Caenorhabditis elegans: one gene and its partner. The protein of the gene in region 1 interacts with the protein of each later gene in a pairwise test. Each region holds a gene or a part of one and is shown in the gene's direction. Other genes may lie near its edges.

Region 1 (4,703 bases):
TTTGCTGAAAAGGCATTCCGTTCCACTCTTTCTCCTCTATCTCTGAAATTCCTCTTCTAATATTTTTACACCCTCACTAATAACAAAACACCTCTCCTTCTTTACCATACATTCATCTCATTTTCTATCTTTTATCACACCGTTCCTTACCGGTTTCTTATTTGAGGCAGCATGTATTTCAATGAGACCTCCATGAGACGTTTTTTTACCTTTTCCCGTCTAGACCCGCATAATCTAAATGGTTTCAATGTTTCCTTTTCCATCTCTCATCGACTCGTTTTTTGTCTATTTTCTTGTCCTCGTTCACTCAAGTTGATAAGAGCATTTTGAACACATAAAAAATTTACTATGGCCTAAACCAGGCGATTTTTATTGAGTTTTCATAAGAATCGTTTTTTGTGGAACATTGTGTACTTTTTTAAAGTTAAAGAAGTATTATTTCAAATTTAATACGATTTGAATGCTCTTCGATCATTCGGCTGATTGGCATGTCTTCCTAATTAATTGGAAACTTCTCAATAGAATACCACAAAATATAGCACTACCCTTATTGATATACTTTAAGAAACTATTTCTAGGTTTTCTTCGGCTTAAAAATGTAGCACATAAATTTGGTGCCAATTACTTTTTGATATTTTAGTATTGACAAAATTTGTGATAATACCAAGGATAACCAAATATGAGCTGCCAAGATAGAGCATTAAATGTACAAGGCTAATAGGGAAAGTACCGTAATCTTTTTGTAAGGTTGACACGCTTAGCGACCAGTTTTCTGTGTGTTTTTCAGGGTTTCATTTTCTCCAGATTTCAAATATTCCAGGTTTCCTGCTCCTCAATATTCTTTTTTTCTGCATTTCAAACGGTAAATTCTTTAGTGAACGTTGAAGATAATTCCGGAATCATTTGAAAGTTGAATTCTTCAAATGAACATTTTGCACGAGACGTAATAGTTTTATCAGTAATAAAATCACTTGTTATTTTTGAAAACTAGATAACTTCTCTTCTCTTGAAAAACTGTGGAATAAAACAAATAGTTAAGTAAAAACTGTTCTTTTGAGTAGGTAGCATAGGAACATCCACCTATTTTTTTTTGTTTGATCTGGTTCTAGTTTCTAAAGTAAACATGAATAAACTTAGAATCTTTGATGAAAGTCATTATCAATGTTATAACACGGAACTAGGTCTCCTTTGTCAAATGAACTGAGTGTTTCTTCTTAATTATGTTGTTGTTTCTTTCTATTGAATTGCAAAACAAAGTGTTCTAATCCATCGGGCGCCAGTTCGGTATACTACGAGCTTCTGCTACCATCTTTCTGTCTCCGCGCACCTTCATCATTTTGTCTTTCGCCCAATGTCAACAGACCTTTTTTCGTCTCCCTGCTTGCTCGCTTGTGTTCTTTCTCTTTGACAGTGCAGCTTCTTCACCGATCGACTCGGATCACTTTCGTTGTCTATAACCTCTCTGATTCTTGTGCTTTACCGTCGTGAAGATCCCGCGCAGTTCGATTTTCAAAGGCGGGGCCTGCACAGACACAGTTCATTTCAAATTGGGACACTACGAGACGGTCTCTCTGTTTCTCGTTTTACTTACTTTTTCATTTGAATTGAAATCTTAGTTACATGGTCCCAAAAAAATCGACAAAAAATTTATATACATGACTACAATTTTCATATTTTTCTTTGCAGAGCTTGTGGGCCGTTCATCACGCGGCTTCTCCGCTGAACGGCAAAAACGGTTATGCAGAATTGTTGAAATGCAGTGGTCAAGTAGTATTATTTTACTCTTCACATTTCTTATCATTTCCAATGCAAAAAACCAAAAGACCACATTGTGCGGGACATGTGACAAGGATTCATGTCCAGATGTTTCAGGATGCGAGCAATTGAAAAAGGATCAGTGCGATTGCTGCGAAGTGAGTAATTTAAAATTTTGATAGAAAACGAACTATGGTTTAACAATTCTTTAAAACTTATTTTTAAAATTAATTTTAATATTCTAGTTCCTCAGTTTTAATTTTCTTTTTAAAATTCCAGAACATTGAATGTGAGCTTTTGAAATAATTTTCCACAATTTCTCATGACTAAAATTCTAACTATTATCATAAATCCCCAATAACTTAATTATTATTGGACAATGATCAAATGAACAAATGAAAGGATCAAATGCTCAGTGAAACAACTGAATAAAGATGAGCTTTAATGTATTATGCTACACAGTCAAATCAGTACCAAAACGAAGAACCGTTTGATAGAAACGCATAATTCAGATACCGTGTATCCTCTTAGAGCTCTTATTCCTCTTATTCCTATAATGAAATTGCACATAGATAGGTTCCCGATAATTAGTACTTTTTTTACTAATAGAGGAAACACGGTACATTAAAAATAATCCTAATTGCTTTGAAAGTGGTTCAACTTTCTAAGTTTCAAATGATAATAACTGTCCCTTAAATCTTACTTTCGGTTTTTAAACCGCGGTTTTAGTTATAATTTTGTTTCTACAAAAAGAAATACACTGAATAAACTTAAACATAAGTCAAAAGTCTATAAAAAAGTATGTGCGGTCTTTTTTAACGGCTTTCAAACAATAAACAAAAAGTTATACTTGCAGGTCTGCATTCGACAAATCGGTGAAACTTGCGACGGGCCTGGTCTTGTTTGTGATTCGCATCTTTCATGTCATCAGGAAAACGATCTTGATGGTTCAAGTCGATGTAAAGGTATATTTTCTTCAATATTTCAAAGTCCCTTTGCATGTTTCATTCGATTTGAAAGAACTTTGGTTGTTTTTTCGAGGTCCAGAATGCTTCCTAATTAAAAAGAAAAGGGTGCTCTAGAGTTACTATTGGGCTTATTTTATTGCTGAAATTTGATAGGGTTTCTTCTCAGTCTCTCTATCTCTCTCTCTCTTTCATTTTCTCTTCCTATAAAAAATGACTTCTCAAAATGGTGGCGGTTCTCTTGTGCTGAGGCTTCTCGTGTGTGCTCGCCGGACGACGCAATCCACCCTGCTCTCCCGAATATACAATTTCTATTTACTTTACTTCACTCTGCCCGCAGTTTTTTAACCAAAAAGTCCTCTATGTTGTGTCCGCAGATAGGGCGGCTTGCAAAGGTAGAAAATGGGTTGGACTAACTTGAGAATTGAAACGATCTTGTTGTGGATAAAAAATCGGACAATGTAGGCAATGGGGATATCAAGTAATTGAAATATTGCAAGGATTCTGAGCATACCAAAACTTGAATGTTGTTAAAAAATACTTAGATTGTTCAAAAATAAATTGTTTTTATCAATTTCTTTCAAGATCTAGAAAAGGAGTGAGCTAGAAAATTCTTGATTGCGGCATGTTGTTCCAATGTTTGGTAATTGGAAGATTTTAAGCCATCATTAAGCACCTCCCAACTCCTTTAACTCAAAATGAAAAGTTTATAGATTATTAAAACATTTTCTACATTTTTACTGAAATATAATGGAACAACGAGCCACGATCGGCCTTGTTGTAGAATTTCCGTCTCAACCTGATCTCGAATTATTTTATGCTCAAGCACATTTGGTTTTGTCTGGATTTTCAGTTCAAAAATGTACTCCTTCCTGTATTTGTCTATTCCGTGTTGTTTCGTTCAAGATGCCATCAAACTTTAATTCAATTTTCGAATTATGATTGCATAGGAAACAGAAAATTTCAAAAAAAAAAAACGGAACGAATGACTAACCAATTGCGCGACACCGAAAAAGAACAGAGTTTCGAGAAGTGTCTAACCTCTGTCTCCCTCAATTGACTCCGCCTACTTTGTCTTCAAGTGTTGCATAGAGTTGGCCATATGCGGGACGACGTAAATCATTTCGATAATTTTTTTACGGAAAGAAGAGCTTGGTGTCTTGGAGATTAGTAATGGTTAAGCTTCTTTTCATGAAATTTTTTTTTCTATTTTTGTCATCGGCAAATCTTTCTGCTTCTCATTTGAATTTGAAAATGTCTTAGTATATATCAAAAATTATGTGTACATACTTTGAAATTTCAAAATGGCTATTCCCGACATTTCTGTGCTTAAATAACAAGGAAAAATCAGAAAAATTTGATATACAAAAATTATTTTCAACAAATAAAAATAAACTTGTTTGAAACTTCAAAATAAAAATGCCTTTCATTATTTTCTATATTAACTGCAATGAATTTGGTTTCACTATGTAATATCTGTTGTTTCAATTTAGACAAACCGAATCCATTGCTTATAATGTATAAATTGTACTTTGTTTTTCTGCATATTGTAACTTGCCACTTCCATAAAACGCCTTTCATCGTAATGTGTACCAGTTGATTTTTGCTTTGAAATGCATAAAAATGGTTCATATGCCTTGACCAACTTGAAATTGACCCTGTCATCTGCAACTTTTTTGTTCTTCAGTCATCACCAAGTATCTTCTCGGTGTCCACCTGATCAGATGTTCTCATGTTTTCAAATCCTTCTTTCTTTTTTCCATGTGATTTTTGTGTATTTTTGTGCTCTAATCCTCTTTCTCCTACTCACTATATTTACAGCTCGAGAATGCAACTAGTCGTCTGCGTCTTTCTACTTCTCTTCTCATTTGTCAATTTTCTCCGAACGGAGCAATCAGGTGTGCTAGAAGGCATTCTCTTCTTGAACAGATATTGTCAAAAAGAAATTAATAGAGTCAAAATAAGTGACAAAGGGGGTGATGG
Region 2 (7,804 bases), 8.3 Mb from region 1:
ATATTGCAAAATATTTTTTTTGAACATTTTGAAAAAAAATGTTTTGTTAACTTTTCGAAAAAAAATATTTTTTTGAAAAACTGTTATTTTTTTCAAATTTCAGTATTTTTGTAATAGTTTGAATTTACACAAAAGTTAAGTACAATGTTCTTAACATACTGGTAGTTATCTCTAAAAATTGAGCAGTTTTTTGAGAACGAGCAATTTGTGTTGTCGCTTTCTTTTACATAGGCTGGTTTAGTTGGGAATTATGTGTGACCTTTTCAGCTAGAAACGGACAGAAAATGATATAACAGTCATATAAAGTTTTAAAAAAAAGTATAGTATAGTAAAACAGAAAATTTGGAAATACAATTTTTTTTTAAAGATTTTTGAAATTTTTTTCTTGCAATTTCAAAAAAAATTTTTTTTTTGAGTTTTTGGAATTTTTTTTTCAAGTTTTGAACTATTTCTATTAGTTTGACATTATGTAACACATTATGACATAGAGATTATGTACAATTTTCTCGACAAATCAGTAGTTAACGGCCAAAATTCGGCTCTTTTTAGACAGTGAGCAATTGGTGTTATCAATTTCCATTGACCTGGATTCTTCAGAATACAGCACTTTTAATTATAGCGAGGCAATGATAAATTATGATTTGCAAAATTTAATGAATAAATTTTTTTTTTTGGATAATTTTGAAAAAAAAATTTTTTTTTTGAGAAATAAAACGTTTTTTTCCAATTTTCTGAATTTTTATTCTCAAATTTTGAAATATTTATATTAGTTTTAGTTCACACTAAAATTAAGATTAATTTTCTTGACAAATTAGTAGTACACTGACTAAATTTGGCACTCGAGCAATCGGTGTTGTCGCTTTCTTTTAGGCTGGTGTATTTGGAAATTGTGGCCCTTTTAGGTATAAAAAGACAAAGTTGATGTTACAACAAGAATGTATATAGTTAAACAACATAAAATGTAGTAAAACTAAAATTTTTGGAAATCAATTTTTTTTTGAGATTTTTGAAAAAAAAAATTCTGCGATTTTCAAAAAATTTTTTGAATTTTCTGATATTTTTTTCTCAAATTTTCAAAGAATGCTTATTCATGCAAATCCACACAAAAATCGTAAGTTTTCATAAGCCAACCAGTTTTTAACTACAAAAATTTGCCACTTTTTAGAAGTCGAGCATTTGGTGGGTGTTGTCGATTCCCCCCCCCCCCCCCCCCTCAGGCTTGAAAAGCCGGCTAAAATCTAGTTCCTCAGGTAAACTTGCACCGAAGTTACAGAAATAGACATCAGGAAGTAAAAAAAAACAGTTCTAATTACCAAGCAAACAAGAAAAATCAATCAAAAACTAAATACACAGCAAATATTTACAAACATAAAAAAGAAAAAAAAAATCAAAAATTGAGGTGCAAAGTGGGCAAAAATGAAATCTTATGACTGGAAAAATAATCAGATAACTGCTTATAAATATAATTTGAATAAAAATAGCAGAAAAAAATTTTGAAAAAAATTTTTTTTTTGAGAATTTTGAAAAAATTTTTTTTTTTTTTTTCTGAAACTCCCCTAAAATGTGGAATTTCAAAATTTTCAACAATTTCGTCAAACTACACCCTCAGAAAAGTACAAATCACGATGAAAATCTCTGAAATCCCCCCATCGCCGTTTGTTTTTCCAATTTACGACCACCAAACCTCTCTCCCTATCGGCTTAACTGTTGGTCTAAACCTCGAATTACTATAAAATAACATATTTTGATGTCATTTGACATTGGTAATATGTTCACAAAAACATCATTGCTAGGGTTACTGTATTTATGCGCTATTTTGATCGGTTTTCCAGAAAAATCGACGGGAAGTGGTGGGTTTTTTTGTTGACCTTTCTTGAAAATTTATGATTTTTAAACTTAAATTTGTGAAAATTTGAATTCAGCTCATTATTAGTTTTCAAACACGTATAATCATGACTATATTCCGATTATTTTGAAAATGTTGGCCTCTACGTCCCTATAAAGTCGTGGCGGGACCCAAATTTCCAATTCGTTAGATTCTAGTCATAATCATACTTTTTTTTTCAAGTTGCTTGAAGTGAACTAAATCTGAGTATTTGAACATTTTTAAAATTTGCACCAGGTTATCGTGGTGGGACCAAAAATTTTGAAAATTCAAAAATTCCTAGAACCTAGTCATGAGTATACTTATTTTAAAGCTCTCGACGCGCTCATTTTCATAATTTAAAAATTTTGGAATTCGCAGCAAAACTGTGCGAGTTGCGGCCCCCTTCAAGTTTTCGTGGTGAGACCCAAAATTTTGAAAATTCCAAAATTTCGAGAACCTAGTCATGATTATTCTCATTTTAAAGCTCTTGGCGCGCTTATTTTAATAATTTTTAAATTTTTAAATTCGCATCAAAACTGTGCGAGTTATGGTAGCTTGTTTCATCAGTATACTTATTTTGAAGCTCTTGACGCGCTCATTTTCATAATTTAAAAATTTTGAAATTCGCAGCAAAACTGTGCAAGTTATGGTAGCTTGTTTCATTTTTGCGGCGAGACCCAAAATTTTGGAAAAATCCAAGTTTTCAGAACCTAGTCATGATTATACTCATTTTGAAGCTTTTGGCGCGCTAATTTTAATAGTTTTAAAATTTTAAAATTCGCCCCAAAACTGTGCAAGTTACGGCAGCTTTTTACATTTTCGTGGCGAGACCCAAAATTTTGAAAATTCCAAAATTTCTAGAACCTAGTCATGATTATACTTATTCGAAAGCTCTCGCTCTGCTGAATTCAAAAATTCTAATTTCAGACCCCCTACCAACAACACCCCCCGCCCCAACAGTATCCCCATATGGAAATGAGACCCTTCCAACACTGTTCCCACCGCTGGTATTTCCGAACTTCACCGTACCAACGCTGAACCCAATGGCGCCAGTACCACCACCCACATTTGGTCCAATTCCTGGCCTTGGAAATTTCACCCTACCTACACTTGGCACGCTGCCAGGCTTCGGGAACTTTACCCTTCCAACTTTTGCCCCACTGAACCTTAGTTTCCCGGGGCTTCCAACAATGGCTCCGCTGAATCTGAGTCTGCCAAATTTCATGAATTTCACACTTCCAACCATGCCAACATTTGCTCCCCTGGTGCTAGGCGATCTATCCAACTTCACGCTACCTACCCTTGCTCCGTTCAATCTAAGCCACCTGGGACTTGGCACCATGCCAACTTTTGCACCACTGAACCTGAGCTTCCCAGGGCTTCCTACGATGGCTCCACTAAACCTGAGCCATTTAGGTCTTGGCACGATGCCAACTTTTGCTCCACTGAATCTCAGTCTCCCCGAGCTCCCCAGCCTTCCTACAATGGCCCCGTTGAACCTGAGCCACCTGGGACTTGGCACCATGCCAACTTTTGCTCCACTGAACCTAAGCCTACCCGCACTGCCTACCATGTCCCCAATGAACCTAACCATCCTAGGACTCCCGACGATGGCTCCAGTGAATCTCACCGGGCTCCCCACATTGCTTCCGATCACCAATCCGCCATCAATGGGCACTACAACCAAGCCACCTGCGGCCCCCAGTACTGGTAAGGCTTGGACGATTATATTTTAGGCTTCAAGCTTCTCTTTTTCCAGCCTGCGGATCCGCTACATGTACCTCTACGCAGGTCTGCGCGTCGCCACTAAACTCGACACAGACCTGCATCCCACGGCTCCCGGATCGCCGTTACTGTATTGATGAGCCGTGTCAAGTGGGCATGAAGTGCTTTGATAACGTCACTAGCAACGCCTACACTTGTTATACCAAACTGGGTAAGGGGTACTGTAGGAGTGCTGGAGGGTAGGGCCAGTGGGGAAAATTGCTTTAAAACATGCCTATGGTACTACAACGACCGAAAATCATAGTAAGAAAATTTCAAAAAAATTTCAAAATTTTATATGGTTTTTTGAAAATTGAAAAAATCTCGAATTGCATCAAATTCCCATTTGTATTACGCGCCAATAGTTTTTGAGTTGCTTGAAGTCAACTAAATCTGAGTATTTGAAAATTTTTAAAATTTGCGCCAGTTTTAGGTTATCGTGGTGGGACGAAAAATTTTGAAAATTCAAAAATTCCTAGAACCTAGTCATGAGTATTTATTTTAAAGTTATTTTAAAGCTCTCGACGCGCTTATTTTCATAATTTAAAAATTTTTAAATTCGCATCAAAACTGTGCGAGTTACAGTAACTTTTCCGTTTTCGTGGTGGGACCCAAAATTTTGGAAATTCCAAAATTTCTAGAACCTAGTCATCAGTATACTTATTTTGAAGCTCTTGACGCGCTCATTTTCATAATTTAAAAATTTTGAAATTCGCAGCAAAACTGTGCAAGTTATGGTAGCTTGTTTCATTTTCGCGGCGAGACCCAAAATTTTGGAAAAATCCAAGTTTTCAGAACCTAGTCATGATTATATATTAATTTTGAAGCTTTTGGCGCGCTTATTTTAATAGGTTTAAAATTTTAAAATTTTCTGAAAAGTTCGATGGAGCGCGCTTGTCATTGTTTAATTTTTATTTTTCAATTTTTCACATTTTTGATTGATTTTTCATGTTTTTTTGCATAATTTTACTGAAACACAGTGAAAAATGTGAGATAAATGCAAATTGTTCACTAAAAATCAGTGAAAAACAGAGAAAGAACGTTTTCCAATGACATTGAGCCTTCATCTCCACTTTTTAATAAAGAATTTGCATTTATCTTAAATTTTTCACTGAATTTCAGTGAAATTACGCGAAAAAACACGAAAAAATCAGTCAAAAATGTGAAAAATTGATGAATAAATATTTAAAAATGATGCAAGCGCGCTCCATCGAACATCAAACTATTGGCGCGTAATTCAAATGGGAATTTGATGCAATTCGAGATTTTTTCATTTTTCAAAAAATCATATAAAATTTAGAAAATTTTTTTTTGTCAAAAAGTGGCAATTACTCAGTTTTTGCCACTCATGGTCGAGACATGTGATATTTCTTTAAATTTTCTCAAATGCTCGTTTTTTTCAAAATTTTGGCCATTTGCCAAAACTTTGACCGGAAATTATGAAAAATCGAAAATTTTTTAGAGTGTTTTATTATGATATTCGGTCGTTTTTGATCATTTTAAGTGCATTTAGACAAAATCCCCAAAATTTTAGATTTTCAAGTCGAAATTCGGATTCCCCACCAAAAATTACCCCTGAGCCCCGATTTTCAGAGCTCTAGTACAAAATGTCGTCAAATCCGGTGTTTTGGGTTACTGTAGCATGGTGTTTGCGAACCCGGCACCAAATTTGACGGAATTTTGCGCTAAAATTCTGAAAACTGCGGTTTCGGGGTAATTTACCATGGGGAATTCGAATTTAACATTAATTTTGCGAAAATTTGATGTTTGGGCCAAGTCACAATGGGAAAGTTTTTTTTTTCAGTTCTTCAAACAAAAATTTTTGAAAAATTGAGTGAAAATTCGAATTCTCCACCCGAAATTACCCCGAAACCCCAAGGGTGTCGATTTTTCGATTTTTTTAGAAAATCGAAAAACGAAAAATTTTCGATTTTTCGATTTTCGAATTCTTCGAAAAAATTTTCGATTTTTCAAAAATTAGCTTAATATTTTCGCCGTTATTCTTCTTTTTAGAGGAAATTTAGATGTTTTTTTCTTATCAATATAAACAAAATTCGATAAAAACTCATATTTTATAGTAAACTTTTTGAACAATTTTTTCTATTTTTCGATTTTCCAGAGAATCGAAAAATCAAAAATTTTTCGATTTTTCGATTATTCGATTTTCACCGAAAAATATCGAAAAATCCTAACTAATCAAAGTTCATCGAAAATTTTATCAGACGGCACCGCCGGTGAATGCCTTGGCATCAAGTGCTCACCCGGAGACATTTGCTTCCAAACTATGGGAAAACCTGCCCAATGCATACAGCTTAAGCGTGAGTTCCCCCCCCCCCCCACACCCCACCCCCTCAAAAAACCCAAAACCCATTCCAGAAGCCCCAAAATGCGTGGGCGCCAACGAGGAGTTCTCGGCGTGCAAGTCGGGCTGTGAGGGTACCTGTGAAGAACCGTCCCCGCCGTGCATGAACTCGACCACCTGCACGTCAGGATGTGCCTGCATACGTGGTTATGTGAGGATCAATGGGGTCTGTGAGCTCATGTCAAAGTGCCCGGTTACTGTAACGGAAGGTGTTTCGTGTGCTGGCGCTGAAGTCTACACGGCGTGTATGCCAGAGTGTGAGAAAACGTGCTCAGGGGTGCCGAATCAGGTGAGCATATGTCATTTTTTTTCACTTTTTTCGTTTTTTCCCCTTGTTGTTCTTTTTTTTTTCATTTTTTGCGTAAAATTGGGCTTTGAGACAGAAAAATTCGAAATTTTCACAAATTTTTACGTCTAAGAGAATATTTATAACGAAAAGTGAAAAAAAATAAAAAAAGTATGGAAAAATAATGAAAAAAAATGTAAAAAAATGAAAAAAACAAAAGAAATTTATCATTTTTTTTCTTTCTTTTTTCTTTTAAAAAAATTGTTTTTTCTTTCTTTTTTCTTTAAAAAAATTTTTTTTCTTTCTTTTTTCTTTTTTTTCCTTTTTTTTCCTTTTTCTTTCTTTTTTCTTTTTTTCTCTTTTTTTTCATTTTTTTTCATTCTTTTTTCATTTTTTTTTCATTTTTTTTCATTTTTTTTTCATTTTTTTTTCTTTTTTTGGTGAATTTTTCATTTTTTACATCAAAGCATTGAACAACATCGAGCACCCGTTTAATATGTGGAAAGAAATCGCATTCTGAATTTGGAAAAATTAAAATTTAAATTAGTGAAAAAAATCAATAAATTTTCAGAAAAATCAAAAAATTTCAGAAAAATCAATAAATTTTTAGAAAAATCAATAAATTTTCAGAAAAATCAAAAAATTTCAGAAAAATCAATAAATTTTTAGAAAAATCAATAAATTTTCAGAAACATCAAAAAATTTCAGAAAAATCAATAAATTTTTAGAAAAATCAATAAATTTTCAGAAAAATCGATTAATTTTCAGAAAAATCGATAAATTTCCAGAAAAATCAATGAAAGTCAATTTAATTTCTAAAAATTTGAAAATTTCAGTTCTGTATCGAAGCCAAAAACGGAACCGCTACCACAAAAGCCCCGGCAAAATGCCTACCCGGGTGCACTTGCCGGCCAGCTTACAAGCGAGATTCTGACAGTGGCCAGTGTGTCCATTCCAGGCAATGTTTTGGGAGTAAGTCGGAGCTCAGAATTTCCAGAAAAATCAATATTTCCAGCAACCAAATGCAGTGACAACGAGGCGTGGTCCAAGTGTCATAACTGCGAAAAAGTGTGCTTCCAAACTGCAAATCCGAGCTGCAAGGCTTGCTGGAGTGGCTGTGGATGCTTGGATGGGTTCTCGAGGAGTACTACTGGGCTCTGTGTGGAGACGGCTAAATGCTTCTGAAATTTCTCTGATTTTCTGTGAAAATTGTGTATTTGGATATTGGAAATGTATAAATAATTTTTTGGTGAATATTTTCTTGTGCTCAGCACCACAAAATAAATGGAAAATTTGAAATTCTCGTAGTCGAATTACTCGAAAACTTGAATAATGATTTTTCCTGGCGCACTTTAAGTGCCTTGGCGAAATTCTAGTGCCTTGGCGCAATTCTAGTGCCTTGACGCAACTCTAGTGCCTTGACGCTATTCTATTTCCTTGGCGCATTTTTAGTGCCTTGACGCAAATCAAATGCTTTGGCGCAATTCTAGTGCCATGACGCAATTCTAGTGCCTTGACGCAATTC

Evidence for each region.
Region 2: the proteins of crim-1 (region 1) and Y69H2.10 interact in a two-hybrid assay, tested with the Caenorhabditis elegans proteins (2 studies listed by BioGRID).

The regions. Positions count from the first base shown.
Region 1 is NC_003283.11:10,329,096-10,333,798, reverse strand, and holds the start of crim-1 (Cysteine-rich motor neuron 1 protein-like), read left to right. Parts: upstream 1-1,686; 5' UTR 1,687-1,754; coding exon 1,755-1,913; intron 1,914-2,611; coding exon 2,612-2,720; intron 2,721-2,962; exon of another isoform or gene 2,963-3,102; intron 3,103-4,545; exon of another isoform or gene 4,546-4,548; coding exon of another isoform or gene 4,549-4,618; intron 4,619-4,703.
Region 2 is NC_003283.11:18,668,556-18,676,359, forward strand, and holds Y69H2.10 (TIL domain-containing protein), read left to right. Parts: upstream 1-1,768; coding exon 1,769-1,850; intron 1,851-2,717; exon of another isoform or gene 2,718-2,784; intron 2,785-2,794; coding exon 2,795-3,577; intron 3,578-3,626; coding exon 3,627-3,803; intron 3,804-5,853; coding exon 5,854-5,949; intron 5,950-6,007; coding exon 6,008-6,282; intron 6,283-7,115; coding exon 7,116-7,251; intron 7,252-7,294; coding exon 7,295-7,464; 3' UTR 7,465-7,564; downstream 7,565-7,804.